7 linked regions of the Macaca fascicularis genome follow. The protein of the gene in region 2 interacts with the protein of the main gene of each other region in a pairwise test. Links are inferred from orthologs where the notes say so. Each region holds a gene or a part of one and is shown on either strand. Other genes may lie near its edges.

Region 1 (4,030 bases), on a different chromosome or scaffold from region 2:
TTTTTTTTTGCACATTACTTTCCACACAAGTTTTACTTTGTGGCCACAATGTGCATACTTTATTTGAATGTTACTTTCATGACATAGCAAATTGTTTCTATAGTTTTTATAAAGGTCATTTAAAATGACATGCGCAGTAAGTCAAAGTCTTCCTGTGCTAGGAAATTTGAAAAAACAAAAGTGTAGAGAAAAATACAAAAATTACTGAATCTGAACATCTACAGAGAAGTGTTAGCATCTGGTCTGTTTCCTTCCAATCACAGACAGATCATATCTAATGGGTAAAGAACCTTCCATACTGTCAACAGACCACACTGTCTTCTAAAATCAATTCACCAGTGCGGATCCTCTGGAATAGATCTTGTGAGTCCCGAGGTGGTACTTTCCTCCCAGCGGCGAGCTATGAGAAGTGGAATCACCAGAGGTAGTCATTCCGTAGACAGAACTGCCGCCTCCCTGCGTGGCTGCGATGCTGACCTGGGTGGCAGGCCGGGGGCGCCGGAACCCAGCACGCACACTAAGTCGGTCCGAGCTCCGCTCTGCTCCTGTAAGATACTAACAACCTGAGGTAGCTGTCCAGACTCAAGGCGGTAGTGATTTTGTGTGTCTGCGTGTTTATCGCGGGGTCCGCAGCGGGACCGCAGGGGCTGTGTCCGACGTCCCCAGACCTCCAGCAGGGTCCGGAGCGATGAACATCTTCCATCAACTTCACCTCCGGGCGCTCGGTCACTGGTTCTTACTTCAGCCCTCTTAGCACCGTAGGTCGGCGCGTCGAAAACCTTTCTGGCACCCGGTGGTCTTTCCTAAGAAAAAGGCACATCTCTCGCACATTTAACTCTCCGTCCGGTCTTTAACTTCAGGCGCGCCAGGACCCGAGGTTCTTCCGAGCGGCAGCTCCGCTCCAGAGCCGGGCACTTCCCAGAGCATTGGCGCGGCCTCCGGGCGCGGGGGACAGCCGGGCGCCGCGCGCGGGCCGAGGACAGCCGGGCTGGGGAGGCCCTGCCCGCCGCCCCGCGTTCTCCCGGCCACGGCCACCCCGCGCATCCGGAGCTGCCGCAGACCCGGCCGGGCCCAGAGCCCCACGCCCCCGGCCCGCCCCTAGCGGCCGCTTGTTTACTCCCCGGCGCAGCCTAGTCCGACCCTGGGGCCCGCCCCTGTCCACCGCCTATTGGCCGAGGAAGCGCGAAGACCGGCAACGATTGGCCCGGGGAGGCGCGGGGCGAGCGGGGTAGGCTGCGCGAGAGGCCGAGAGGGGGCGGCAGGCGATGGCGGCGGCGGCAGCGGCGGCGGGTGTGTTAGGCTGGTTGTTCGCCGCGCTCTGCCTGGGCAACGCCGCGGGGGACGCCGCGCCGGGCCCGCGAGTGCTGGGCTTCTGTCTGGAGGAGGATGGAGCGGCGGGCGCGGGGTGGGTACGCGGAGGGGCGGCGCGGGACACGCCGGACGCCACCTTCCTCCTGCGCCTCTTCGGCCCGGGCTTCGCCAACAGCTCTTGGTCCTGGGTGGCCCCCGAGGGGGCGGGCTGCCGGGAGGAGGCGGCCGCCCCCGCGGGCGAGTGGCGCGCGCTGCTGCGCTTGCGCCTGCGGACCGAGGCCGTGCGCCCGCACTCGGCGCTGCTGGCGGTGCGCGTGGAGCCGGGTGGCGGGGCGACCGAGGAGGCGGCGCCTCCCTGGGCTCTGGGCCTGGGGGCGGCCGGGCTGCTGGCGCTGGCAGCGTTGGCGCGCGGCCTGCAGCTGAGCGCGCTGGCGCTGGCGCCGGCGGAGGTGCAGGTGCTGCGCGAGAGCGGCTCGGAGGCGGAGCGTGCGGCGGCGCGGCGTTTGGAGCCCGCGCGGCGCTGGGCCGGCTGCGCCTTGGGCGCGCTGCTGCTGCTGGCCAGCCTGGCGCAGGCAGCGCTGGCGGTGCTGCTGTACCGCGCGGCCGGCCAGCGTGCGGTGCCTGCTGTGCTGGGCAGCGCGGGGCTCGTGTTCCTGGTGGGCGAGGTGGTGCCGGCCGCCGTGAGCGGTCGCTGGACGCTGGTGCTGGCGCCGCGCGCGCTCGGCCTCAGCCGCCTGGCCGTCCTGCTCACTCTGCCCGTGGCGCTGCCCGTGGGGCAGCTGCTGGAGCTGGCAGCGCGGCCCGGGCGGCTGCGGGAACGGGTGCTGGAGCTGGCGCGCGGCGGCGGCGACCCCTACAGCGATCTCAGCAAGGGCGTGCTGCGCTGCCGGACCGTGGAGGACGTGCTCACGCCCCTCGAAGACTGCTTCATGCTGGACGCCAGCACCGTGCTGGACTTCGGCGTCCTGGCCAGCATCATGCAGAGCGGCCACACGCGCATCCCCGTGTACGAGGAGGAGCGCTCCAACATCGTGGACATGCTCTACCTCAAGGACTTGGCCTTCGTGGATCCTGAAGACTGCACGCCGCTCAGCACCATCACTCGTTTCTACAACCATCCGCTCCACTTCGTCTTCAACGACACCAAGCTGGACGCTGTCCTGGAGGAGTTCAAGCGAGGTAACATCCCGGGCATGGTGCAGGGGACGCCTGTGCCAGTGCCCTCTCCCTGAAAAGGGATGGAGAGTTATGAAAGCCTTCAGGAAAGGGTCCCACCCCCGTGGCGTGCGGTGAGACTTCTAAGGTCCCTTTTCAAGACGGTATTGGCCTTGCAGGTTGGAATCACCTTTTGAAATACTTAAAGGCCATCCATCAGAGTGGGAGAAATCCTTTAGACAGCGAACACTTTAACCCCCGCGTCAGGATGGCACCCCTATACATATCCTATTTGCAGGGAGGGGTATGTCCGCTTGGCTCTAATCCCCCAGCTCTTCCCCTCTCCCAGAGCGTTTCTGTGTGCTTGTCTTTGTAGCAGGTCCAAATGTTTGGCTAGAAACTAGAAGAACACAGAGAAGAGGGTAGTCTCCAGGTATCTGGGACGTTGTGGCCCGCACACATGTAATATCAAATTGACTGAACGTGTGATGTTTCCTTCAGAGCGTTCTTAAGGTCTCTGGCTTTACTGCAGATAAGGGTATTTAGGTGTCAATCTCTTATCTGCAGTAAAGCCAGGGAAACTTACACTTTGCTTCCCCCAAAAGTAACTCCACGGATGCTGACTTAGTCTCCCTTTCTCTCGGCTCTGTCGCCCAGGCTGGAGTGCAGTGGCGCGTTCTCGGTTCACTGCAACCTTCGCCTCCCAGGTTCAAGCAATTCTCCTGCCTCAGCCTTCCGGGTAGCTGGGACTACAGGTGCACGCCACCATGCCCGGCTAATTTTTGTATTTTTAGTAGAGACGAGGTTTCACCACGTTGGCCAGGCTGGTCTTGAACTCCTAACCAGGTAATCCACTTGCCTCACTCTCCCAAAGTGCTGGGATTGCAGGCGTGAGCCACTGTACCTGGCCTTTTTTTTTTTTTTTTTTGCTTTTTAATCTCCTGTTCTTAAAAAATTTTATATAGAGACAGGGTGTCACTATTTTGCCCAGTCTGGTCTCAAACTCCTGGCCTCAAGTGATCCTCCCACCTTAGCCTCCCAAAGTGTTGGGATTACAGGCGTGAGCCACTGCACCCAGCCTAACCTACACTTTTCTATCTGTAAGGTTTCAAGTTCTCCCTTCACTCCACATTTTCATCCCTCCTTTCACTCTGTTTTATCTAAGCAGTTCGGAGATTGAAGGTAAAACCAATACTCCCCAGATATGAAGGTGTGGTTTCCTCTGTAGTCCTCCCCAGCGTCATCCTTAGGGGTGCTCCCCAGAGTTTGGTGCTCACACCTTGGCCAACAGCCATGCTTCTCACACCTGCACTCCTGTAGGGTGAGGGTGGGGGCACCCCAGGGTGGTGGATGGGCTTGACCCTAAAGGCTGTCTGCTGTGAGACGAAGAAGTGGCAAAGCCTCCTGGTATTTGTGGCAGGACGTCTCTGGCACTGTCTCACTGTCTGTGAGAGCCCCTGGCCTGTCGGTGCAGGAAGCCAGGCTTTGTGGTAATGATTGCTACTCCTGACTGAGCACTGCTATGTGCCAGGAGCTGATGGGCACTCTCTGTAATCTCGTCCCT
Region 2 (4,186 bases):
GCTTGAACCTAGGAGGTGGAGGTTGTAGTGAGCCGAGATTGCGCCACTGTACTCCGCCCTGGGTGACAGAGCAAGCCTCTGTCTCAAAAAAAAGAAAAAGAAAAAAAAAAATCCCAGAGAAAGTCCCCATCCATGGGCTGGATGCTCACTGCCTGGACTCCAGATAACAGGTGCCTGTGATACAAACCAAGGATGTTAGACGGGCATACATACTGAAGCAGTGTCTGCTATCCATTCATTCATCAGATGTTTATTATGTGCCGGATATTGAAGTAAGTACTGAGAAGGCTGTGGGGAACAAAACGGAGCCCTGCCTTCATGGCTCTTACCATTTAGGCAACAACAGCAATAATAAACAAGCAATAATTTAATTTTGAAAGGAAACCAGGCCTGGAGGGTGACTTGGGACCCAGGAACCCAGGCATGACACAGAGATGGGAGGGAAAGGTTCTCAGGAGTCCCAGCCTGGGAGGGTGTTAGTTCCTCTGTGAGAGCTCCGCTGCACCCAGCCTGGGTTGTGGGGAGGCCTCTGTGGGCACCTGAATCTTCACTCTAGACGCTAAGGTTATTCCAGGGTTGGTTTGTTGTCTCTTGTTTCCACTAACAGCACAGTAGAGCCTCCTGCCTCCCTCCCTCCCCCACCCCTTCCAGACCGAGGCTATTTATTCCTAGTGACAAGCCTGAGGATCCCAGGGGGGGTGGCCTCAAGGACCTGGAGGGGCCTCGTGTCCCTAGCAGGCGCCAGTCCTCCCTCACGGACACAGGGAGGAAGCCAGAGGTTTAGACACTGCAGAGGTCCCCTCCCCTCTCCTCCACCACCCCTGCAGTGCCCCATCCTCTCACACTCCTCACACCCCACCCTAGAAGCCCAAAGATCATGGGGCCAAGGATTAGGGTCTCTCCTGGGCCTCAAAGGTCAAAACTATTCCTGGGCACTGCGGAAACCCAGGCAAGACAGGACTTCTCAGCGTCAGGAGGCCACTGGAGGTGGGGAGGTGGTTACCCCTGTTTTTGCTACTCAAAGTTGTGGAGTAAAACCCTTTGGAGGTCAAGGCCCTGTGGTGGGGAGGGGTCCTCTCTTCGCCCCATGTTTTCAGAGAACACATTGGTGCCCGCTGACAGGCTCATGACAGTAGAGTCAAAACCTCCTCCTCCAGGCTGGATTAAGGCCAGGTTGAGTGTCACCCCTAAGGGTAAGGTGAGGGGGTGGGGAAATCCGAGGAGGCCACAGGACTCTTCCCCAGTGGACCATGGTCTGTGGGGTCTGATGTCCCCGGCCTGAGATGGAATACAACAGTCTCCCTCTGGCAGCTGGGGACGGGGGGGGGGGTGGGGGTGGGGGTGGGGGGTGGGAGGGGAGGAGAGCAGAGGCTGCGGGGAGGGGACAGGGGCGGGGTCCCGGCCGCCTGAAGGTTGGGAGAGCCAGGTTAGGCCGGGCAGGAGGAGGGGGCCGGGCCCGCTGGCGGCCGAAAGGGAGGTGGGGGCGGGGTCTGGCCCCCGCAGCGGGCTGGGGGGCCGGGGGCGGGGTCCGGGCGGGGCGGGCCCGCGCTCACTTCCTCGGGGAGGGGTTGGGGCCGCGCTCCCACTCGCCCACACGGTCCGTCTGCAGTCGGCAGCCTCGCCGGCAGCTCGCTCGGCCCCCGCTTGGCCCGGCCCGCAGGTAGGAGCCGCCGAGGGACGCGGCGCCCGGTTCCCCGCCCCGCCCGCGCCGCGCGCTCCCCGCTCCCGCCGCCCGCTTCGAGGTGAGCGCCCCGCCGACCCCGGCTCCCAGCCCCGGCAGTCCGCCCCCGCGCCCAGGGAGCGAAAGGACCCGCGGAGGGCTGAGGCCAGCCGCGGCCCCGGCCCCCTGTACCCGCCAGGCTCTGGCCACAGGTGCCCGGGGCACGCCGAGCCCGGGAGAGCGCCCGCCCGGACTAGACCCCTCCGGGCTGCCGGGCGGGGCGGGGCGGGGGCGGGGGCGGCAGCGAGAGTTGGGCGGGGGAGGGGGCTAAGTTTGAAATAGAAAAGCCGGATAGAGACAGACCGACCAGAAGCGCTGGAGAAACTGAGGTTCTCGCAGAGCCCAGTGGAGCGAGAGACCAAGACAGGCAGGGACTCGAGGCACAGGAGGAGGCTACCGAGACCATTGAAACAAGGACACACCGGGCGTACAGTGTTACCGGTGGACAGACCCGAGACATGGGGGCCGTCCCAGGCTTTCTGGAGCATTTTCAGAAAACATACGTGGGACCCCAGCGAACACATTCCCTGGGGCCCTTCCCCAGGCCTTGGAGGTGCCCTGAGGCTTGGGCGTCATTGGCCTCAGGCTGAATCTGCTCTCTGAGGCCTGCAGAGACACTCAGAGACTAGAGACAGAGACACTCAGGTATGCAGAGGTGGCGAAAGAGACTTGGATATAGAGACAGAGAAAGGGATGTGGTGGGGATTGAGACATTCAGCCATGTAGACAAGAAGAGACCAAGACTTGAGATCCACAGAGGCATGGGCCGCCGGGGGACAGCCAGTCAAGATACAGAGTCGTCCAAAACCTAAAGACAGAAGCTGTGTCCAGACACAGAGATGCTGAGTGAAGCAGAGACAGACACCAGAGACTGAGACTTAGTGGGGGCAGAGAGACCTAGGTGGGCTGACAGCTTCCAGGACAGCCCCTGACTTACCCAGACCTGAACCATTGGGAAGTGAGGCTCTGGGGAAACAGAAACTCTGAGCCCACCAATCCCCCATGAGGCAGAGGCCCTGAGACAGTAAGTTCGAGATCAAGAAGAACCCCGTGGACACACACAGCCACCAAGACAGCCCCAACTTATTTTTAAACTCAAATCTTGGACAGGCTGCCTCTGCCCTGGGGGACCCAGGGTGAATGAACTGTTCCTCTCCTGTCCCCAGAGCAGCTGCGGGATCCTGCTCCCCAGCCCCCTTCCCTAGACTTCTCTGACTTCCAGGTCCCATGGGGGAGAGCAGAGCTTGGGGTTGGTGCCCGGTAGCAGAGGGTGAGGGTTGAGGGAGTTGAATTTCTCCCCTTAAGTCTCCTGTCAGCTTCTAGAAGGTGGGGGAGGGGTCTGTTCTGATCCTGACTCACAGCTGTGGGACCTGGCCGGGGTCCTCCTGGATAGTGGGCATGTTGGGGGTGGGGGACAGAAGAGTTGAATGGTTGGCATGGGGCATTGGAAAGGCTTCTGGGTGCCTTCCAATCACAGGGCTGGCAGCTGGGGAGAAGAGCCAGGCTCTAGTGCATCTCCTGTCCCCCTGCCCTTAAAAGCTGATCATCCCCTTCATCACCAGGGCAGTATTTTTAGGGAGACAGAAGAGCTCTGGCCTGGGAGGCAGGGGACCTGGGTCCTGATAACTGAGTGACCTCGGGCATAAGCCTGCTCTATTCCTGCCTCCTTGTGCTCATCTGTAAAATGGGGATGATACTCTGTCCTGCCTGCCTTTTGTGAGATCTGATGAGATGGTGGTGGGCATGGACTTTGTGAGTGGCAAAGCAGCATGCAGGTGTCTACACCTGTGGACCTGTGTGGGAGATCTCAAGAGTTATGCTTACTAGAGTCAGGCTGACTGGGCTGGAGCAACCACTGCCCCCACTGGTGTCCTCAGCAAGCCCCATGGGCCTGGGGCCTCCTATTCTCTCCCTGGGCCTAGGCTGAGAATGTCCAGGTCAAATTTCAGACAAGGCTGGGCACAGTGGTTCACGCCTGTAATCCCAGCACTTTGGAAGGCTGAGGCCAGAGGATCACCAGGAGTTCAAGACCAGCCTGGACAACATAGTGAGAACCCCATCTCTACAAAAAACAGAAAAACCTAGCTGGGCATGGTGGCATGTGGCTGTAGTCCCAACTACTCAGGAGGCTGAGGCAGGTGGCTTGCTTGAGCCCAGAGTAGGTTTTTTTTGTTTTGTTTTGTTTTTTTGAGATAGAGTTTTGCTGTTGTAACCCAGGATGGAGTGTAATGACATGATCTTAGCTTACTGCAGCCTTCACTTTCTTGGTTCGAGCAATTCTCCTGCCTCAGCCTCCTGAGTAGCTGGGATTACAGGCGCCTGCCACCATGCCCAGTTAATTTTTGTATTTTTAGCAGAGGTGGGTTTTCGCCATGTTGGCCAGGCTGGTCTTGAACTCCTGACCTCAGGTGATCCACCTGCCTTAGCCTCCCAAAGTGCTGGGATTATAGGCATTAGCCACCTCAC
Region 3 (4,137 bases), on a different chromosome or scaffold from region 2:
GTTATTACTAATTGCAAAATCCTCATGTGTTACAGCATGCTAGGAATTAGCCAACAGCTGCTTTTTGCTTCAGTAATGAGGCCCTATTACACTCTGCTGGACTGAGTTCTCTTCCTTCTTCCTAGCACTGGTTTCCTGTCTGATTTTCTTCCAAAACCGGGAATTGCCTCCGCTCACATCCTGGGCTCAAAGCCCTAGTGACACAGATTATTCAGTTGGGGCAATGATGTCCGGTCTGACATCCCGGCAGGCCCCAGGGTCTATGCTAAGCCAGGCAGTGAGATTGTAATACTCCAACGATAACTGCCAAAGACACATTAGGGAAAAGAACAGGGAAGAAATCAAAAGATCCCTTCCTGATTCCAGGGAGGAGGACAGGCGTTTGGGGTTTGTTGAACGGGAGACGGAGGGTACAGACTTCAGCCTATTCCCTCAGGATGTTTACATTCAATACAAACCACCAACGGGGCTGGGGAGCAAACATAACCAGTAACTTTTCGGATTTAAAACTCATCACCTTGGTGCTCAATACGAACGGTGCATTGACTGCACCCTCAATGAACAGACCAGGCTGTCTCTACTGCGGGTGCTTATAGGAGCACCATGGGAGGCAGAGGGAAGGCAGAAAAGCCATTTTGGGGACTCATCAGGTATAGGGAATCACTTTGGAACAAGGGATCCCTCATCAGATCCAAAAGAGAGCCATGTTCCATAAGACTTTCCAGCTGAATCTACCCCTCCCTGGAAGCCCACCCCAGCCCCTTCTAGAGGCCAAGGCCACCGCCTTATGGAGCATCCCTTGCTGCAGCCAACTGTGCTAGACTCCACAGATGCTGACCACCGTGGGCTGCATGTTGTATTGGGCCTGCGTTAACCCAGCTCTCTCTTGAGACAGAGCGGGTGGGGAGCCGCAGCAGAGGGCAGGCACGCCATCAGCACCCCCCCCGCCCCGCAACAACAGTACCTTCCTGGTATTTATAAACACAGAGATCACACGCACAATCCCTCCACCGCAAACCAGTCCGGCTGCTTTAGAAACAAGTTGTTTTCTGCTTCCAGAACCACCCAGGAGCCTGTGTGATGTCTCTTCCCCCACCGACCCCCTGTTCTCTCTGCCGGCCTCCTTGCTCCAGGTACCCCCAGACCCTCACGGTGCTCCTTCGTTCCTGCGGGGCAGTGCAGCCTCCTGTCCTCGACCCTTACAGAAGACGGGCGGGCAGGCGGGCAGGCACTGGGCACACAGGCGGCATGAGCCAATCAAGGCTGGCTTCTTCCTTCCTGACCTTCGCACCTGATTCCCAGAGCGGCAGCCCTCGCCCTCGCTCCAGATTACTTGAAGGAGTCCAACCATGTTTCTGGATCCCCAACCCCTTTCAGAAAGGAGCTAAGACTGATGGAGAACGAGGAGGGGAGAGAGAGAGAGCTTTCCTGAAAGAATAGGGTCCCAGGATGTCGAAAGGTGCCAGTGGGTGCAAAGATTTTCTTGTCTGTCCACCATCCAGAAAGAAGACTCGGGGCGGGGGGCGAGGAGGGGCGGGCACTGGGGAGGGGGAGTAGTTCATGGGAGGAGGTAACAGGCTCTTCCTGGTAGGGGGCCTACAATTCCAGGAGTTTATCTGGGTAAAATATAATGTGGGAGGAAAAGGGCATGTTGTCTTTTCAAGCCCACTCCCCAATCCCCTGATGTAAAAGGGGGTGGTGGGGGAGGAGAGGACGAAAATCCAGAACTTAACAACGGTGGCCCGTAGGTATTTTTTCGCTAAGAAAAGGAAAAGAAAGCAAAAGAGGCAGTGGCGGCGAGAGGAGGGCAGGGGTCCGCCCGCGCCGCCAGGTGCACCGGGGCCCGCACCTACCTGCTGGCCGCCGCCGCCGCTGGAGTACGACTCGGCGTGCGCAGGAGAGCCGCTGCTGCCCCGGGACGAGGTGTCAAAGTTCCCGGGATAATCCTGGTACATGATCCGCGGTAGGGGCCGGAGGGGAAACAGGGTGTTTTTCTTCCCCCGCCCTCGCCGCGGCCGCGCACCGGCTGCTGCGCGCTCGTTCGTCCGCCGGCCGCGCCGCGGGCTCTGGGTTTCGCTCCTGGGTTTCTCCCCAACCGCGGCGGGCGAGGACAAGGAGGCGGCGACACCTCGGGAACAGCGTCCCCCGAGCGCCTCTTACGGCACTTCTTTCCGGCTCTGAGAACGCCGCGGGACCAGTTGTCCACCCGGTCCCTCCCTCTAAAAAGTCGGCGCGTCTCTCGGTCCCTCCCCTGCGCGCGCCCTCCCGCCCCCGCGCGCAGCCGGAGCTCAGCCGGGACCCACGGCCCAATCAAAAATTGGAAATTAAAAAGACTAGGAGCCCAGAGAGCCTGGCCTGCCAGCCCCCGGGACCCTCCGATTTCAGACAGGGCCAAAAAGGCGGAAAGAAAAGCTGTCCGCTGGGAGAAACTTCTGTTTCTTCCTTTCAGAAAAGGAGCCGGAGAATAAACTTCCCGTGGCCGACTCGCCGCCGGAGTTTCGGGGCGGCTCGGATACTTGACTGGGAGAAGGCGGCGTGCGCCCGTCCCGCGGCCCCGAGCGCGCCAGGGGGACAGCGGCTCGTGGGGCTCAAGCTGAGCTGGCGCTGAGAGGGACGCGGCCCTGCTCCCCGCTCCGGCGCCCGGACCTGCACCCCTTCCCCGGCGCCCGCTCCCGGACGGGCCCGCCTCGCCCGACCGCGCCTCTCCCTCTCCCTCTTTCTGTCCCCGCCGAGCGCCGCTCGTTCGCTCGCTCGCTGGTTCGCTCGAAGCCCTAGCGCTCTGCCCGAGATGAGTCACTACAATGGCACGAGTTCAACTCACACTCTTTATTCTCCAGCCCTGTACCATGTGGATTCACTCACGTCAACCCCAGACTCCACCTTGCAGGGAGGAGCGCACGAGGAGGCGGGGGGAGGAGGCCGCGGAGGAGGAAGAGGCGCAGGAGGGGAGGAGGCGGGCGCAGCTCTTCCCTCCCAGCCCCGGCTCCCGGCCGCGCTGACGCCAGCCGCGCACCCCGCGCGAGGAAGCCAGGCGGTGGCCCTGGCGGGAGCGGGCGGCCCGCACGGTTGGGGGGCGCCGAGGCAGCCCCGGCCCTCCCCCGCCCCCCGCTCACCCCCCGGGCCCAGCGCCCTTGGTCTGTTCCATTGGCGCACGTTGCCAAAGATGGTCATTTGCGTTAGAGGACGCGAGTGCGGGTTTCCTCGCTTTCGGGTGACGTGGAGGGAGAGGGATTCCCTCGCCCGCTCCCGAGTGCGCTGTGGCCTCTCCCCCGCCCCGGGAAGGGGCGCGGGGCGGGGCCCCGAGAGCGGCCGCGCGGTCTCGACTCCGGATTTTAGAAAATAATCACAGCCCTGACGGGGAGACGGGCGGTTCGGTGCGGCGCCACCGGGAGGCCGGGAGCTGGGCGCGCAGAGCCGCTCGCAGGGAGGGCGCGGCCGCGCGCGGTCGTAGGCGCCCTTCGCGGCGCCGCCGAGTGCAGCGGGCGCCCGGGGCGCGCAGGGTGCCCGCGCCGCCCTGCGGCCGGGTCTTGGCGGGGCGCGGCGCCGGGCGGGGCTGGCCTGCCTATTTTTCCCTCCGTGGCGGGCTGCCTACCGCTTCCCTTTTTGATTTTTGTTTTTCATGTTTTCGGTCCTACAGTTAATTCGTTAGGAGTAGCCTTGAAGATGAAATTAACCGGGCAAGATATTCCGGCTGCCCTGTACGCCGAGCAATTAGGACGCATCTAATAAGAGTAATCGGGCGTTCATAAGCAAACTCCCGACTGTTACGAATTAAAAAAAAAAAAAAAAAAAAAGTAGCCAGCGAGAGGGTGTGCCCCAACGTTGTCGTCTTCAGCTGTTTTGGAGCGAAGTTCAGGGCGCGGGTAGCCGGACACTTGGGTCCTCCTCCCTCACTGGGCGGGGCTGGGAGGGGCGCGGCGCAGGGTACAGAGCACAGACCTTGGAGCAGGAACGCCCGGCTACGCTATTTACGAGCTGTGAGATCTTAGACCAATTCCTTAACCTCTCTGGGCCTCAGTTTCCTCCTATAAAGGGAAGGAGTTTGGAGCCATGACCTTAGGCCCTTCTCTGCTCTGGAGCTCCAGTCCTTCTGCTGAGATGATGGTGTGTGAATGGAGAAGTACTGTAGCGGAATTC
Region 4 (3,500 bases), on a different chromosome or scaffold from region 2:
GGGAAGAGGAGGCCTTGGGGTGTGTCTGGGCAGAGGCCCTTGGGGCCCTGTCCCACACCCGCCCTCCCTGCCCAGGGTGCCATCTCAGATCGGCTCGCCTTCCCCTGCCCCTTCTGCGAGGCTGCATTCACCTCTAAGACCCAGCTGGAGAAACACCGGATTTGGAACCACATGGACCGACCTCTGCCTGCCTCCAAGCCTGGGCCCATCAGCAGGCCGGTCACCATCAGCCGGCCCGTTGGGGTCAGCAAGCCCATTGGAGTGAGCAAACCTGTCACTATTGGCAAACCCGTGGGTGTCAGCAAACCCATTGGCATCAGCAAGCCAGTCTCTGTTGGCAGACCCATGCCAGTCACCAAGGCCATGCCAGTCACTAGGCCCGTGCCAGTCACCAAACCTGTCACAGTCAGCAGGCCCATGCCAGTCACCAAGGCCATGCCGGTCACTAGGCCTGTGCCAGTCACCAAACCCATCACAGTCACCAAGTCTGTGCCAGTCACCAAACCTGTACCTGTCACCAAACCCATTACGGTCACAAAACTTGTGACAGTTACGAAACCCGTGCCGGTCACCAAGCCAGTGACAGTCAGCAGGCCCATTGTGGTCAGCAAGCCGGTGACAGTCAGCAGGCCCATTGCCATCAGCAGACACACACCGCCCTGCAAAATGGTGCTGCTGACCAAGTCGGAAAACAAAGCACCTCGTGCCACAGGGAGGAACAGTGGTAAGAAAAGGTATGGGGCTCGTTCCAGGCCGGGGTGCTCCTCGGCCATGGCCTGGGGGTAATGGGGCCCAAAGTTAGGCCCTCCTGGCCCTCACCTCACCTGCTCCCTGCAGGGCTGCGGACGGCCTGGACACCTGCCCAATTCCACCCAAGCAGGCCAGGCCAGAGAATGGGGAGTACGGCCCCTCCACCATGGGCCAGAGCTCGGCCTTCCAGCTGAGTGCAGATGCCAGCAGTGGCTCCTTGTCGCCAGGCAGCAGGCCGTCGGGGGGCGTGGAGGCACTGAGGGCTGCAGGCCCTGCGTCCCCGCCTGAGGAGGACCCCGAGCGCACGAAGCACAGTAAGATGAGAGCCCCAGGGGTGGCGGCCGGCACAGGCTCGGCTCCTGACGGTTATTTGACCAGAATCTTGGCCCCCGTTTTCTCTCCCCGAGTCAGGAAGGAAACAGAAAACACCCAAGAAGTTTACAGGGGAGCAGCCATCCATCTCAGGGACCTTTGGGCTCAAAGGTAAGACCCCAGCCCGGTGTGCACTTCCAGGGCTGGGGCTGTCCACTGAGCGGCAGCCCCTGAGCCCACCCCTGCCTCTCTCCACCCCATGTGTGCACACAGGCCTGGTCAAAGCTGAGGACAAGGCCCGAGTTCACCGCTCCAAGAAGCAGGAGGGGCCAGGCCCTGAGGATGCCCGGAAGAAGGTGCCAGCCCCCATCACTGTCAGCAAGGAGGCACCAGCCCCCATGGCCCACCCAGCTCCAGGTAGGGGCTGCCTGGCAGGGGCTCAGGGCAGCTCTAGAACGCGGGTAGATCCCACAGCACAGGGATGGGGGCTGAGTGTGGAGGCTGGATTCTGTGCCTGGTGTCCAGGCCACCCAGGGGTCCCCACAAGCCTTCGAGGCCCCTGCCTTCCCCACAGGTGGCCCTGAAGAGCAGTGGCAGAGGGCCATCCACGAGCGTGGGGAAGCCGTCTGCCCCACCTGCAACGTGGTCACCCGGAAGACGCTCGTGGGGCTCAAGAAGCACATGGAGGTGTGTCAGAAGGTAAGGCAGCTCCCGGAAGGCGCTGGGAGGGAGGTGCCCCGGCCGCAGGCAGGCTTCTCACACCTGCGCCATCTGCAGCTTCAGGATGCACTCAAGTGCCAGCACTGCCGGAAGCAGTTCAAGTCCAAAGCTGGGCTCAACTACCACACCATGGCCGAGCACAGTGCCAAGGTACCGTCGGGCCCCCAGCGCCTGTCCAGCGTGACCTCTGACCTCACACCCCACCTTCACCACAGCTCCCCCAGTTTCTAGCCTCGGATGACGGTGGCCCAACACCTGGGTGGGGCAGGGCCAGGGCAGGGACCTGTGGTGGTGGTGGTGGGTCACCGACGTTCACCCCGTCCCCAGCCCTCTGACGCCGAGGCCTCTGAGGGGGGTGAGCAGGAGGAGCGCGAGCGGCTGCGCAAGGTGCTGAAGCAGATGGGACGGCTACGCTGCCCCCAGGAGGTCAGTGGGGGCCACGGCAGTGTGGGGTGGGGGGGCCCTGCTGGCCACTCACCCACCCTCTGGCCTGACCCCCAGGGTTGCGGGGCTGCCTTCTCCAGCCTCATGGGCTACCAGTACCACCAGCGGCGCTGTGGGAAGCCGCCCTGCGAGGTGGACAGCCCCTCCTTCCCCTGCACCCACTGTGGCAAGACATACCGATCCAAGGCCGGCCACGACTACCACGTGCGCTCGGAGCACACGGCCCCTGTGAGTGGCTCTCCGTTCTGTGGCATCCGTTCCGTGGCACCATGCTTGCTCCTGTTTGCCGTGTGTGTTCTGTGTGCCTCGGGTACCAACCGTATTTGTCCATGTGCCGCCTAACGCATGTGTTTCCCACCCCTCTCTGTGAGAGGCGGGTGTCCTGGTGGGCGGGAGGGTGAAACCTCCCTGTTCCCTCGGGTTGCCTGCGTCAGCCGTGTCCCCAGCACACTACGAGGCCTGTGGGTCCACCGGCCTTGGGGTGGCCTCACTGTGCGCCGACCTGCCTCTTGCTCCTGCGGCTCACTCTAGCCTCCATGCCTTCCTGCCCTTCAGCCCCCTGAGGAGCCCACAGACAAGTCCCCCGAGGCTGAGGACCTGCTGGGTGTGGAGCGGACCCCAAGCGGGCGTGTCCGCCGCACGTCGGCCCAGGTGGCGGTGTTCCACCTGCAGGAGATAGCAGAGGACGAGCTGGCCCGCGACTGGACCAAGCGGCGCATGAAGGATGACCTCGTGCCCGAGACCGCACGGGTGAGCTGCCCACCCAGTATTGTGGACAGCGCTGTGGCCTCTGGGCGGGACATGCCTTGGCCTGAGCCTTGGGACAGCCGCCCCGTGACCTGGGCCACCCGTTGCCCCCGCCATCTGTGGCGAGTGTTGCCTGCTGCCGTGGCGAGTGTTGCCTGCTGCCAAGGCGAGTGTTCTTAGAGCAGCTGGGGTGTCTCCTGGCCTCAGGCTCACCCTGGTGCTGTCGAATTCACAGCTCAACTACACTCGGCCAGGGCTCCCCACGCTGAACCCCCAGCTGCTAGAGGCATGGAAGAATGAAGTGAAGGAGAAAGGCCACGTCAACTGTCCCAATGATGTGAGCAGAGGCCGCCGGGTGGGGGCGTGGGGACCCACACAGGGACAGAGCCCAGGTGTGGCCCTCAGAGCAGGAGTGGAGGCTGAGAGCTTTCAGGAGGTGCCCAGACCACCCCAGGCCTTGCATGCCCAGCCTGCCCGATTCCCAGGACTCACACCCCCTCACTTGTCCCAAAGAGGTCTCAGAGATC
Region 5 (4,098 bases), on a different chromosome or scaffold from region 2:
GTGTTAACAACATTCAACACAGACGGAAGCCATTCGTCTATCTCAATTCAGCCGGAAATAGCAAGACCCTCAGCTACAGTAGGCTGACTAAGTGGGGCTGAGGGCAAGGTAGGTAACAGGATCCAGGCTTGAGCTCAAGCCCCGGTTCAGTCTTTAAAGAGGGATGAGCACGTAAGGGCTTAAACTAACAGAACTAGAAACTAACAGGATGGTGTCGCAGGCAGGTGTAAATTACCCCGCCCCTCTACGCCCTCCGTCGAGGAGACTCGCCAAATGCGTTTTCTCAGCCTACGGGCAGGGCAATTTCTTGCTCTCTACAGGCAATTACTCCCAGCCCTGTAAGCAGGGAGTGATGACCTCGCCTTTTCGTTCTGGAGTGAGGGCCGGACACGCTTGGACCTCACCTCTCCGCGCCACTCTGCGGCGGGGCCGCGGGAGGCCGGCTCGCGCCCACGCGCACCCCACGCTCGCCTTCTCTAAGATGGCGGCAGAGGCTGCTCGCTCACGCCCCGCCGCCCGCGCTCCTCCAAGTCGTGCCCTCAGCAGGGGGGAGTGGGTCAGAGCGCGGAAAGCAGAAGGGCGAGAGTGACGCGGATCCTCCAGTCCACCGCAGGCCGCGGAGCCCTGAAGCGTCCAGGAAAGCGAAAAGCCAGCAGGCTAACGCGACCAGGAACACCGCCAGCACCTCAGAAACGAAAAAAACGGCGGCACATCCGGGCCCCTCTGCCCGCCCCGCCCCGGAAGTAACGTATCGGGCAGGGGCGGGGGTTGCTCTTCAAAGTGGATTCTTCCTTAGCCATAGCTCGTCTTTCCACAAAGTGCCTGGAATCACCCTCGCCACCCCCTCCCTCGGGTTAGCCGTTACTCTCTCGTGGCTCCGGGACGTCTCTGCACAAAGCTGGCTGCCGGGAAAGGCAGCCCTCGTTTCACAGATAGTAATCCTCGCACCGCGACTCTAAATTCTCCTGGGCTTCGCCAGCGCGTGTAGTAACGTCCCTCTGAGAGGACTCTTGGTGACCTCAGCCCCAACCAAGCATAGGCGCACCTCTTCGGAGTCCTGTGTTGGAATCCCGGCCTCGTGCCCCGTCACCCCGCCACCCCGCCACCCCGCCCGGCTTCGGGGGCCGTCAGTCACAGCGCTGCTCCCTCCCCTTCCGGCGGCTTGGCCGGGCCCGCCTCCTCCCCTCTTCCCTCCCCCACCCCTCCCCGTGCGAGTGTCTCCCTCTCCCTCTCGCTCTCTCTCTCCCTCTCTCTCTCTCTTTTGTGAGTTATAGCAACCGTTGCCTTGTGAATCAAGCGCCATAGTCACCGTAGTCCTGGCGACTGTTACCCATCAACAACAACTACTCCTCTCCTCCTCCTCCTCCTCTTCCTCCTCCTCCTCCCCACCACCACCATCTCCATCACCCACCAACAACACCACAATAATCCACAGCCAAGGTGAATATTCTTCGGTCTCTACATGTGTGTGGGAGCGTGTGGCTGCGTGTGAACGCGTGTGTCCGTGCGTGTGTGTGTTCGTGTGTGCGAGCCGAGTGTGGCTGTGCAGGGGTCTCACTCCTGACACGGGGGCTGCCGCTGCGGCGCCGCCGCCGAGGGGCTCTGTTCCCCGGGCTTGTTTACAATGGACCCTGCGCGCCGCGGCTGGGTCGGGGGTGTGGGCGCCGCGCTGCCCGCCGGCCCCGGCCCTGCGCCGGCCGCACTTCAGGGATGGAGCGGGAGATTGGGGGGCTGCGAGCCGAGCGGGAGAGGGAGCCACAGTTTTCCGATGCGGATGCCGGATCTTTCCCTTAGGTCTGGTATGAGGAGAAGGGTCAGGTGAAGAGATAAGAATTTGTTCTTTCTTTAATTTTCTTCTTTTCTAACGCTGCTTGTTTCCTGCTTCTTTCAAAGCCGAAATAGACAACAGTGTGCAGGGGGGGACCCAAGAGGTGGTGTTTTGTTGTTGTTGTTGTTCACTTGTGGGGCCTTGTTATGGGTTTTGTTATTTTTATCCTCGTACGTTGGTGAACTTTTCCCACCGCCTGTTCCCTTCATTTTTGCCCCTCTTTGCTTGGTGCTGAATGGGCTGCTCTTCTTTCACCATCATGAGCTTCACGGTTTTCCTTTTTCTTTTTAAAACTGTGTTTTCTTTGTGCGGCAAACAGTCTTAATATCCATTCAGCACTCTTCCCTCCCCCTCTTTCTACTCCCCCACCCCCCCACACCCCTTGCACACACACGGAAACCTGGGGCCTCTTCGTTGGGCTCTCTTTGCTGTACTGGGAAAGAGATTTTTCTTTTTTAAAGTCTGTCTCCTCTCTCTTCTTTGGGGGGTGTGTGTGTGTGTGCTTGTGATTTAAACCGGATGCACGGCATCTGTGATACTTGGGTTAGTAGTTATTGACAGTGCTTTATCCTTCATGTGGAGGTGGGAGGGGTAGTAGTGAGGTTCCGTTTCACTTTGATGATCCTCTTTCTCCGCAGTAGAGTGTTAACAATTTTCATTGTGGTTATGAGACTTTGTGATGAACAGGGAAGGGACACAAGGAGGCTTTGTGAGAACTCAGTTCACAATGTTATTTGTGACAGTTATGGTACTTTAAGAGTTTTTTTTTTTAATCTACTCTGTTCATTTTCCTTTGAGAGTTGAAATTGAAGTCAAGTTCATAAAGAATGTATGAAGCTTCTCAACTTGAAACGTGTGTATATTTCACTTTCTTTGTGGTTAAGATCTAGGCATGTTTGTACTTAACATATTCTTTTTATTTACTTTTTGATTTTCTTTGGACAGTGACTTGAACCTGCTCAGGAGAGAGAACTTTTTCCTTTTTAAGTATTTCTTTTAAAAATTATATTTCTCTGTAGATTTGAATACTTATTAGTCCTTATGTAGTAGGTTCTTGGTTAGCGTTAACCCAGTTTTACAGATCCCCTAAATTTGTTCATTTTTTTCAGCTTAACTTTTAGTTAATAGATTTATCAATAAAGAGTTTTGAAAATGAATGTGTGCTAAAACAAATACAACGTACTATTATAGTTGCACATATTGAAGTTTTTAATTTACAGTTTTAAAATGCTTATTCAAATAGTCTTCTAACAGCAAACATATATTGATTTAACTGACAGCAGCTTGTGAATAATGTGACAGTACTAATTATTCTTGAGATTGTCAATGAGCAGGGTAGGTAATTATAATGCTATTAAGGCTAATATTTTGTAAACTAAGAGTTGGGATTTTAAAAAACTTTTTCAATTCATTTCCTTGCGATTGCTATTTTAAATGAAGACGATATTTTGTTCTGAAAGAAGTCTTTCTCAGAGTACTCAGAATTCTTTATAATTATTCCTCCCCTCCCCAAACTGGGTTCCATGCAAATCTCTAATACTAACTTGTACTTTTTTTTGTTCAGATTGAGTGTCAAATGCCTGAACACTTTTGGATGATGAAGCTCCTGGGTCCTATAAACTCTCTGAAGTTAATAGGAGTTTTGCTGTCTTGGGACAGTTTCAGACCTTATGCCATTTACATAATAGGTTTTCAGTTAAGTAAATTATATGCTGGAATGTTACAATTTAATATTTGCAGTGTCTGAGAACTTTTTTGAGGCATTTCACTCATGTATAGCTCGTTTTCTGTGATTTAGATTTTCATTCACAAGTTGATTTGAGAGCAGAACTTAAATTGAATTTCATTACTTTTCCATTTTTTGAAGCATATATGTGGAATAAAATCGCTATTAGAGCTGCTGTGGAATTGCTTAAATAATCAGAAACACTAAGAAATGGTAAATTTAAAAATTAAACCCAAGAGTAGATACTTAGCTTTTACTTTATTCTTTCTTAATATTTTTCCTAGAAGGGACTATATTACATATTGATACTTTCTTGTGTTTTTAGTTTTTATACTAATAGAAATTTGTAAAAGTGATCATGCTTTGAAACTAAAACTATTTTAGCAGAAGTCACTTGTAACTTGTTTTGAATAGTTAAATATCTGTGATTCAATGTATGCCATAATGCCTCAGTGTTTTTGGTTTGTTTTGCCTGTGAATTATATAAAATGGTGTAGGCATCATACGTATACACATATTTGGCAAACTAATGAATTTCTAGAAA
Region 6 (3,335 bases), about 37 Mb from region 2:
GCGAGCCCTGTAGGTGCCCACGGCAGCCATCCTGGGCTCAAGGGGGGTCCTCCTTTGGAGCTCCAGCAGGGTTCAGAGGGGCCCATGGGGTCCAGACCCTTCCTGGGGACACCAGGCAATGGCGGATGCAGGCCAGGCCATGGGGGCCGTGGGGTCACAGGGCTGCAGGAGGGTCCTGGTGCTGAGGGGCTCAGGGTGATGGGCGGGAGCCCAGGATGGGGCAGCCCGGAAGGGAGCATAGGCCAGCTGTGGGGACCCCCCTTCCTCAGGACAGCCCCCCAGGACTGGGCCCAGCCGTGGAGACCCCTGTCCCTCAGCACAGTCTCCTCAGGGACAGGGCCCAGCCATGGAGTGGGGGCTACTGGGGCCTGGGGGCAGGGCCTGGGGGCTGGGGAAGTCCCAGGGGAGCATCTTTCAGGCCAGTGCCGGCGTGGTGGGGGGCGACCCCGGTGGGCATGGGCTCGGGGCGCTGAGGTGGCAGGACCGCTGCAGAGACCATGTTTGTAACAAAGTAGCCTTTATAGGTCCCTGAAGGCGGGCAGTGTGGCTGGGGCGTGGGGTGTGGGGCGTGGGTGGCCGCCCCAGGGCCTCGCGTTCTCGGGCTCCTTGCGTTCCTCCTTGGCTGTCCCCGGGGAAGGCTCTTGCTCCGGGTGCCTGTCGCCTATGCCCGGGGCCTGGGGCTGCCCATCGTGGGCGCTATCTGGGTCAGGACTGGGGCCGGGCAACTGGGGACGCTGCGGTGCCAAGGGAGGTGGCACAGGCCTGCGGGTGCCCGGCTGGTCTGGGGCACGCGGCGTGGGTGGCCCGGAGGACTTGGCCTGGCGGGTGGGCGGAGGCAGCCGTCGGCGGAGGCTGCAGGAGCCCCCCAGGCGCGGCCACACGTCGGCCTCTCCGTTGTGCAGGAGCACGAAGCGACGCTGGGACAGCAGAGGCAGCATCTTCTGGCCACGCAGGCTCTTCTGGAAGGTCTCCAGTGCCAGGTCTGGTGAAGGTGGGGGGGAGAGGGTAAATGGGGGGCAGAGGCTGGGACTGGGAGGAGCAGGAGGGGCGGGGAGGGTGTGGGGGGGGAGGGTGTGAGGTGCGGGGAGGGTGTGAAGGGTGGGAGGGTGTGAGGTGTGGGGAGGGTGTGAGGGGCGGGGAGGGTGTGAGGTGTGGGGAGGGTGTGAGGGGCGGGGAGGGTGTGAAGGGTGGGGAGGGTGTGAGGTGCGGGGAAGGTGTGAGGTGTGGGGAGGGTGTGAAGGGTGGGAGGGTGTGAGGTGTGGGGAGGGTGTGAGGGGCGGGGAGGGTGTGAGGGGCGGGGAGGGTGTGAGGGGCGGGGAGGGTGTGAGGGGTGGGGAGGGTGTGAGGGGTGGGGAAGGTGGGGGCTGGGGCGGTGCTGCCACACAGAAGGTGGAATAGCCCCATCTGTGGGGGTCCGAACTTGGGAAGAGGGCGGGTGGGCATTCAAGACTGGGCAGGCTGTGGGGGTGTGGGGTGGGGGCTTGGAGGGCTCACCCAGGGTCTCGATGACCACACCTGGGATGACCTCCTTCAGGACCTCGCAGTTGGTGTGCAGGGCTGGGTTGGAATTCATCTCCAGCAGCCATACCTGCACCAGATGCCAGTCAGACCCTCCCCACCTCGAGGCCACTGGGCCAGCAGGGCAGAGGCCCTGGTCCTCGTTCAGCCAGGTGGCTCTGGGAGATTGCTTCCTTTCTATAGCGTTGCTCCCCTGTTTGTCCACTGAAACTCTGAGGGTCTGAAGCTCTGGCCTGAGGGGCTGCCCTGAGGAGGGGGTGCAGGTCCGTCCCAGCTGCATAGGAGGTGAGCCTCGTGGATACATCCATCCCCAGGGCTGACTGCAGAGTCTGCCTGGGGCCTGCCAGTGTGGTTAGGGTGTGTGCAGATGGCCCCTGCCTCCTTGCATCTGCCTCCCGTGCCCCCGCCACCCAGGACAGCACCTTGAAGTTGTCATCAATCAGGAAGTCACAGCCGATGAGGTCAAAGTAACCCAGCTTGCACTCCAGCTTGGACTTGGCGGCCAGAAAGCAGTGGGCCATGATCTGCTGCATCCGCTTCTGCAGGGAGACAGGGAGGCATCCTGGCTGTGGCCTCTAGGCCCTGATCACACCCCAGGTCTGAAGAGCTACAGCCACGTCCCTCACCGGCACTCCCATCTGAACCCACACCTGTACAACCACACCTGCCCACACGTTCGTGCACTCAGCATCACAGGCTCACAGCCAGAAACTCAGTCAACAAAATCCTGGAGCTCCTGCCCTGTGCCAGGCCCTGGAGATACACGAGTGAGCAAAACTCACAAGAAATCTCTGCCCTGGAGCAGTTCTTTCATAGCAGAAGAGACGGATAGCAAATGGGATACATAAATCTCGAATCACCGTAAGAACGGTGAATTTTGTCGTTTTTTAATGTGCTCTGGTTTTTTTTTTTTTTTTTTTTTTTTTTTTGAGGCGGAGTCTTCACTCTGTCGCCCAGGCTGGAGTGCAGTGGCACCATCTCGGCTCACTGCAAGCTCCGCCTCCCGGGTTCGCGCCATTCTCCTGCCTCAGCCTCCCGAGTAGCTGGGACTACAGGCGCCCGCCACCGCGCCCGGCTAATTTTTTGTATTTTAGTAGAGACGGGGTTTCACCGTGTTAGCCAGGATGGTCTCGATCTCCTGACCTCGTGATCCGCCCGCCTCGGCCTCCCAAAGTGCAGGGATTACAGGCGTGAGCCACCGCGCCCGGCCAATGTGCTCTGGTTTTATCCTCTGCTCCCCAGCTCAGCTGTAGCCTCAAAAAACAACGGCGTGCATCCCCAGAACTGGAGATAGAAAAATAGACCTCATTTATGAAAAAAATTGTAATTATTTGTTTTCTTATGTCTGGTAGTTCTTTGGAAGATCCCACTTGAAAGGACTAACAGAAAGTAGGAGGGCCGGGTGTGTGGCTCACACCTGTAGTCCCAGCATTTTGGGAGGCCAAGGCAGGAGGATCACTTGAGCTCAGGAGTTTGAGACCAGCCTAGCCAACATGGTGAAACCCCATCTCTACTAAAAATACAAAAATTGGCCAGGCACATAGCTCACACCTGTAGTCCCAGCACTTTGGGAGGCCGAGGCGGGAAGATCACTTGAGCTCAGGAGTCTGAGATCAGCCTGGGCAATAAAGCGAGACCTTAGCTCTACAAAAAAATTAACAAAATTAGCTAAGCATGGTGGTGTGTGCCTGTAGTCCCACCTGCTTGGGAGGCTGAGGTGGGAGGACTGCTTGAGCCCAAGAGGCAGAGGCTGTGGTGAGCTGAGATTGTGCCACTGCACTCTAGCCTGGGCGACACAGTGAGACTGTCTAAAAAAA
Region 7 (4,292 bases), on a different chromosome or scaffold from region 2:
CTCGGGAGGTTGAGGCGGGAGAATCGTTTGAACCTGGGAGGCGGAGGTTGCAGTGAGCTGAGATTGCACCACTGCACTCCAGCCTGGGCGACAGAGTGAGACTCCGTCTCAAAAAGAGTTCTGTTCAGGTGGGTGGCAACTGAGAGCTCCCCGAACCATAACCCCTTATTTAACAGATAAGGAAGCTGAGACCCAGAGGGAGCCAAAGCAGTGGAGAAAGCTAGGAGTTCTTCGGGACTTTACCCCTCTCCCTTTTCCGTCCTTCCCCAGGCTCCTACCTACCCCAGGCTCATTTCCCCCCACCTCCTCCGGGTTCACTTTGTAGGACTCCGTTCCTGCAGGGCCAGGTCCCTCCGAAGTCCCCGGGAGCGCGAAGGCGCCTGGGCTCGCGAGCATACGCGGAGGCGTGGCGCCCGTTCACACATCCCAAACAGCCGAGCGAAGACTCCGAGACACGCACAATAGTTAGGGGAAGAGCCGGCAATGGAGGCCCAAAATGGGCTGACCCGTAACTAGGAGGCATGGGCACGGTTATTCAGCGTAGGGAGCGCGCGGACGGCAGAGGGGCCCATGCACGGTTCCCATGCTCTACTGGAATTGAGTGTTGACTCTCAGGGGACTTTGCTGGAAAGCCTCTGCTTCCAAAGCCTCCATCTAAGCCCCTTTCCGAAATCAGGGAAGCTGGATGCGTTTAGAAAAAAAAAAAAAAATAGGCCGGGTGCGGTTGCTCATGCCTGTAATCCCAGCACTTTGGGAGGCCCAGGCCAGCGGATCACCTGAGGTCAGGAGTTCAAGACCAGCTTGGTAAGGGTTTCGCATGGCGAAAACCTGTCTCTACTAAAAATACAAAAATTAGCCAGGCGTGGTGGCACGGACCTGTAATCCCAGCTACTCGGGAGGTTGAGGCAGGAGAATCGCTTGAACCTGGGAGGCGGAGGTTGCAGTGAGCCGAGATGGCGCCACTGCACTCCAGCCTGGGCAACGGAGTGAGACAAAAAAGAAGAAAAGAGAAGAAAATAATAAGGTTTTAAACTTAAAGGATACATTCCAACTTACCCTCTCCACCCCCACCCCCTGGCTGCAGTTTCCCTTTGCTTCCAGGGCTGAGTTTAACCTCCACCTCCGTTCCTGAGTCTGTGGTGGAGGTGGTGGCTGGCCCCTGGAGCGTGGGCGCTAGCGAGGTAGGCGAAACAGGGCGGAGTCCCCCGGAGATGCATCTTTATAAAGGAGGGATCAGCTGCAGACGTCGATGCTACCGTTCGGGTGGAGACCGTTCAGCACCGCGGCCGAGGACAGGGCCCCGCCCGGGTCCATAACCATTGTCCCCAACTTCCAGATTTCTAAACAATCTCTCTCTCTCTCTCTGCCCCTCCCCTTCACACACATACCCCACTTTCTTCTTTAAAGAGTAGAAAAAAATCACCTGGCGCACCTCTCCTTTTTTCTTCTATTTTTCAGAACCCTGGGCGGAAAGCGCGAGCGAGTTGGGCAGATGCCGGCAGCCGCGGTGCAGGATACGGTCGGCGTGTGCTCATACGGGATGCAGCTCAGCTGGGACATCAACGATCCACAGATGCCTCAGGTAAGTGAACCGGGTGTGTGCGGGCACGCGGGGCGCTGTCTATCCGAAGGAGGGAGGGAGAATGGCATTCAAGTTCTTGAAGAGTCTGCGGACGGACCATACACACACACACACACACACGCACACACACGCAAAATTTCTGGGTTTCTGAGGCCCCCTCAAATGTATAAAGAGAACTGAACTCCACAAAAGGCTGAATTGGGTTTAGAAATGTGTCTTCTCGGCCGGGCGCGGTGGCTCACGCCTGTAATCCCAGCACTTTGGGAGGTCGAGGCGGGCGGATCACCTGAGATCGGGAGTTCAAGACCAGCCTGACCAACATGGAGAAACCCCGTCTCTACTAAAAATGCAAAATTATCTGGGCGTGGTGGAGCACGCCTATAGTCCCAGCTACTCGGGAGGCTGAGGCGGGAGAATCGCTTGAACCCGGGAGACGGAGGTTACTGTGAGTCAAGACCACCCCATTGCACTCCAGCCTAGGCAACAAGAGCAAAACTCTGTCTCAAAAAAAAAAAGGAAAGAAAGAAGAAGAAATGTGTCTTCTCCCAGCAATTTCCTTGTGCTTGCCTGAAATTACGCGGAAAGCAGCAGGAAATGTTGATCAGGCTCCACATTCCCAGTCTTGGGGAGAGCGGGACGCCTGTCCTTTCGCTTCCCGTTAACCAAGGTAGAAATCAGGTGCCTCTCTCCTTATTCATTTACTTTAAATCCATGAGAAAGCTAACGAGAAAATCTAAACAGATGTAAATACCACTGCTTCTCATACAGCAAAACTATGAGGTACAACTATAAAGTGAATCTAATGACCTAAACTTAAAACAAATAGCCAGACTTCAGCAATTTGTTCAGACCTGCCTGACTGCCCAGAGGAAGGAGGCCCCATAGTCATGCCAACGAGGCCATCTGTCCCCGAAACTTACTTCTTCTATAATGACAAGCAAATCATCATTCTTTTAGGGTGAATTCGTTGTATTTTGTATAAAGCATTTTTGTATAAAGCATTTTTGTATAAAGCAAAAATGGTTTGGAGCCAAGTCCAAAGAATGAACTGGGATGGATGAAGTGGTAAATAAAGTGGTTTGAAGCCAATTCCAGAGAATGACCAATTATGCTTGGTCATACTGGTTTGGGCCAAAACTGAGTGACTCTGAAGTCTGGGCTGTGGGGGATGGGGGATGTAGAATGAGAGTTGCTTCCCAGCCATTTACAAATGTGGGCTTCCAGCAATGTTGTGGCACAGGAATAAAAGAGATGTGTCATTTTTTCAGCAACTAAAATGTGCCTGATAGGTGTTCAGATGAATAGTAATTCATTGCAACATTGTGTCGCCTCTCAAAGAGGTCAGCACTTTTTTGGAGCCACACATTTGTAGGTGAGGTGTGTTTTACTCCTTTGTTTTTGTTTGTTTGTTTGGGGTTTTTTGTTGTTTGTTTGTTTTTTGAGATGGAGTTTAGCTCTTGTTGCCTAGGCTGGGTGCAATCGCATGATTTCGGCTCACTGCAACCTCCATCCCCCAGGTTCAAGTAATTCTCTTGCCTCAGCTTCCCAAGTAACTGGGACTACAGGCATGCGCCACCACACCTGGCTAATTTTGTGTTTTTAGTAGAGATGGGGTTTCTCCATGTTGGTCAAGCTGGTCTCAAACTCCTGACCTCAGCTGATCCACCCACCTCAGCCTCTCAAAGTGCTGGGATTACAGGCGTGAGCCACCGTGCCCAGCCCACTCCTTTGTTTTAAAGTCTGCCTACTTTAGAGTCACATGGTACCACTTTCATGAAAGTGGACCACAGTACAGCAAGTGCATCTCATTCTGTTTCTGTCCATGTACATCTTCACAGGAAACAATCATATCTTGCATATTAGAAAATCACATCCAAATAATGTAATTATGGTTCGTCTCTCAAGCATTTGGTAGACTTCCTATGTAAATATGAACTTTGTTTTAGGAGACTGGTTGTTAAGTGGAAGTATGTGTGTAATAGCTCAAAAGGGCCAGGCACACTGGGACATAGTGAAGTGAAGAAACTTAGCATCGCCCTGCTCTGGCTAACCAAGTGAGCGAGTTAAACTACCTGTATGACCTTGAGAGAGTCCTTGAATTTGCCTTAGTCTCAGGCTACTTACCGACTTGTCATCAAGTGGTAGAGTGAGATAACCATCTCAAACTCTCCTCCAGGTCTACGATCAGGTTCAGGTGGAGTGTGTGTGCGTACACACACACACACACACAACATGTCAACACTTTAGAACAAATGAAACCCAATCCTTGACATCCTCTATTCTGATTTTAAAGATAGAGTCTCTGCGGCTCCACTGCCGGGGTCACTACCTCAGTAGCTCGCGTGAGGCATGTGGGCCTAGTCTACATCCTTAAGGGAGAACTAAAGAAAGGCTGTTTTCTGGAAAATTGTCAATTCATTACTAAGATCCTTAAGTTAAAATATTCACTTTGAAAACAAAGATATTAGCATTTAGTATAAGCTTGGAGTTGATAGTACATCATTATATATTTCACTTGTGTCTTACCTTACATTAATGTACTAATTTATGTCAATTGTAATATTTCAGAGAAAAGATAAATAATACCTAATGGTAGTAATAATTATTTCAACAATATCTTTGTAATTTTAGAAACAAAATCACTCATTTACCTTATTACTGTTAGAATGTGCAGTATTCATGATGTATACAAGTCTGAATTTTCCAACTG

What was found.
Region 1: the proteins of FHL3 (region 2) and CNNM3 interact in binary tests that used the Homo sapiens proteins (3 or more experiments, as listed by UniProt). The two-hybrid records come from large-scale screens. The link is inferred for Macaca fascicularis from reciprocal best matches to the Homo sapiens genes FHL3 and CNNM3.
Region 3: the proteins of FHL3 (region 2) and FOSL2 interact in binary tests that used the Homo sapiens proteins (3 or more experiments, as listed by UniProt). The two-hybrid records come from large-scale screens. The link is inferred for Macaca fascicularis from reciprocal best matches to the Homo sapiens genes FHL3 and FOSL2.
Region 4: the proteins of FHL3 (region 2) and ZNF512B interact in binary tests that used the Homo sapiens proteins (3 or more experiments, as listed by UniProt). The two-hybrid records come from large-scale screens. The link is inferred for Macaca fascicularis from reciprocal best matches to the Homo sapiens genes FHL3 and ZNF512B.
Region 5: the proteins of FHL3 (region 2) and RFX3 interact in binary tests that used the Homo sapiens proteins (3 or more experiments, as listed by UniProt). The two-hybrid records come from large-scale screens. The link is inferred for Macaca fascicularis from reciprocal best matches to the Homo sapiens genes FHL3 and RFX3.
Region 6: the proteins of FHL3 (region 2) and TTLL10 interact in binary tests that used the Homo sapiens proteins (3 or more experiments, as listed by UniProt). The two-hybrid records come from large-scale screens. The link is inferred for Macaca fascicularis from reciprocal best matches to the Homo sapiens genes FHL3 and TTLL10.
Region 7: the proteins of FHL3 (region 2) and GCM2 interact in binary tests that used the Homo sapiens proteins (3 or more experiments, as listed by UniProt). The link is inferred for Macaca fascicularis from reciprocal best matches to the Homo sapiens genes FHL3 and GCM2.

The regions. Positions count from the first base shown.
Region 1 is NC_088387.1:1,835,747-1,839,776, forward strand, and holds the start of CNNM3 (metal transporter CNNM3), read left to right. Parts: upstream 1-1,230; 5' UTR 1,231-1,265; coding exon 1,266-2,490; intron 2,491-4,030. UniProt on the Homo sapiens protein: Probable metal transporter.
Region 2 is NC_088375.1:196,908,855-196,913,040, forward strand, and holds the start of FHL3 (four and a half LIM domains protein 3), read left to right. Parts: upstream 1-1,386; 5' UTR 1,387-1,426; intron 1,427-1,584; exon of another isoform or gene 1,585-1,742; intron 1,743-4,186. UniProt on the Homo sapiens protein: Recruited by SOX15 to FOXK1 promoters where it acts as a transcriptional coactivator of FOXK1.
Region 3 is NC_088387.1:93,832,556-93,836,692, forward strand, and holds the start of FOSL2 (fos-related antigen 2), read right to left. Parts: upstream 2,801-4,137; 5' UTR 1,956-2,800; coding exon 1,854-1,955; intron 1,211-1,853; exon of another isoform or gene 1-1,210.
Region 4 is NC_088384.1:120,099,554-120,103,053, reverse strand, and holds part of ZNF512B (zinc finger protein 512B), read left to right. Parts: intron 1-75; coding exon 76-734; intron 735-837; coding exon 838-1,064; intron 1,065-1,157; exon of another isoform or gene 1,158-1,161; coding exon 1,162-1,233; intron 1,234-1,335; coding exon 1,336-1,479; intron 1,480-1,636; coding exon 1,637-1,761; intron 1,762-1,839; coding exon 1,840-1,932; intron 1,933-2,109; coding exon 2,110-2,208; intron 2,209-2,283; coding exon 2,284-2,454; intron 2,455-2,781; coding exon 2,782-2,976; intron 2,977-3,208; coding exon 3,209-3,310; intron 3,311-3,500. UniProt on the Homo sapiens protein: Involved in transcriptional regulation by repressing gene expression. Associates with the nucleosome remodeling and histone deacetylase (NuRD) complex, which promotes transcriptional repression by histone deacetylation and nucleosome remodeling.
Region 5 is NC_088389.1:95,612,183-95,616,280, forward strand, and holds the start of RFX3 (transcription factor RFX3), read left to right. Parts: upstream 1-1,298; 5' UTR 1,299-1,440; intron 1,441-1,453; exon of another isoform or gene 1,454-1,818; intron 1,819-2,485; exon of another isoform or gene 2,486-2,659; coding exon of another isoform or gene 2,660-2,681; intron 2,682-4,098. UniProt on the Homo sapiens protein: Transcription factor required for ciliogenesis and islet cell differentiation during endocrine pancreas development. Essential for the differentiation of nodal monocilia and left-right asymmetry specification during embryogenesis.
Region 6 is NC_088375.1:233,578,403-233,581,737, forward strand, and holds the end of TTLL10 (protein polyglycylase TTLL10), read right to left. Parts: intron 2,058-3,335; coding exon 1,941-2,057; intron 1,589-1,940; coding exon 1,495-1,588; intron 983-1,494; coding exon 519-982; 3' UTR 501-518; downstream 1-500. UniProt on the Homo sapiens protein: Inactive polyglycylase.
Region 7 is NC_088378.1:162,067,501-162,071,792, forward strand, and holds the start of GCM2 (chorion-specific transcription factor GCMb), read left to right. Parts: upstream 1-1,492; coding exon 1,493-1,582; intron 1,583-4,292. UniProt on the Homo sapiens protein: Transcription factor that binds specific sequences on gene promoters and activate their transcription. Through the regulation of gene transcription, may play a role in parathyroid gland development.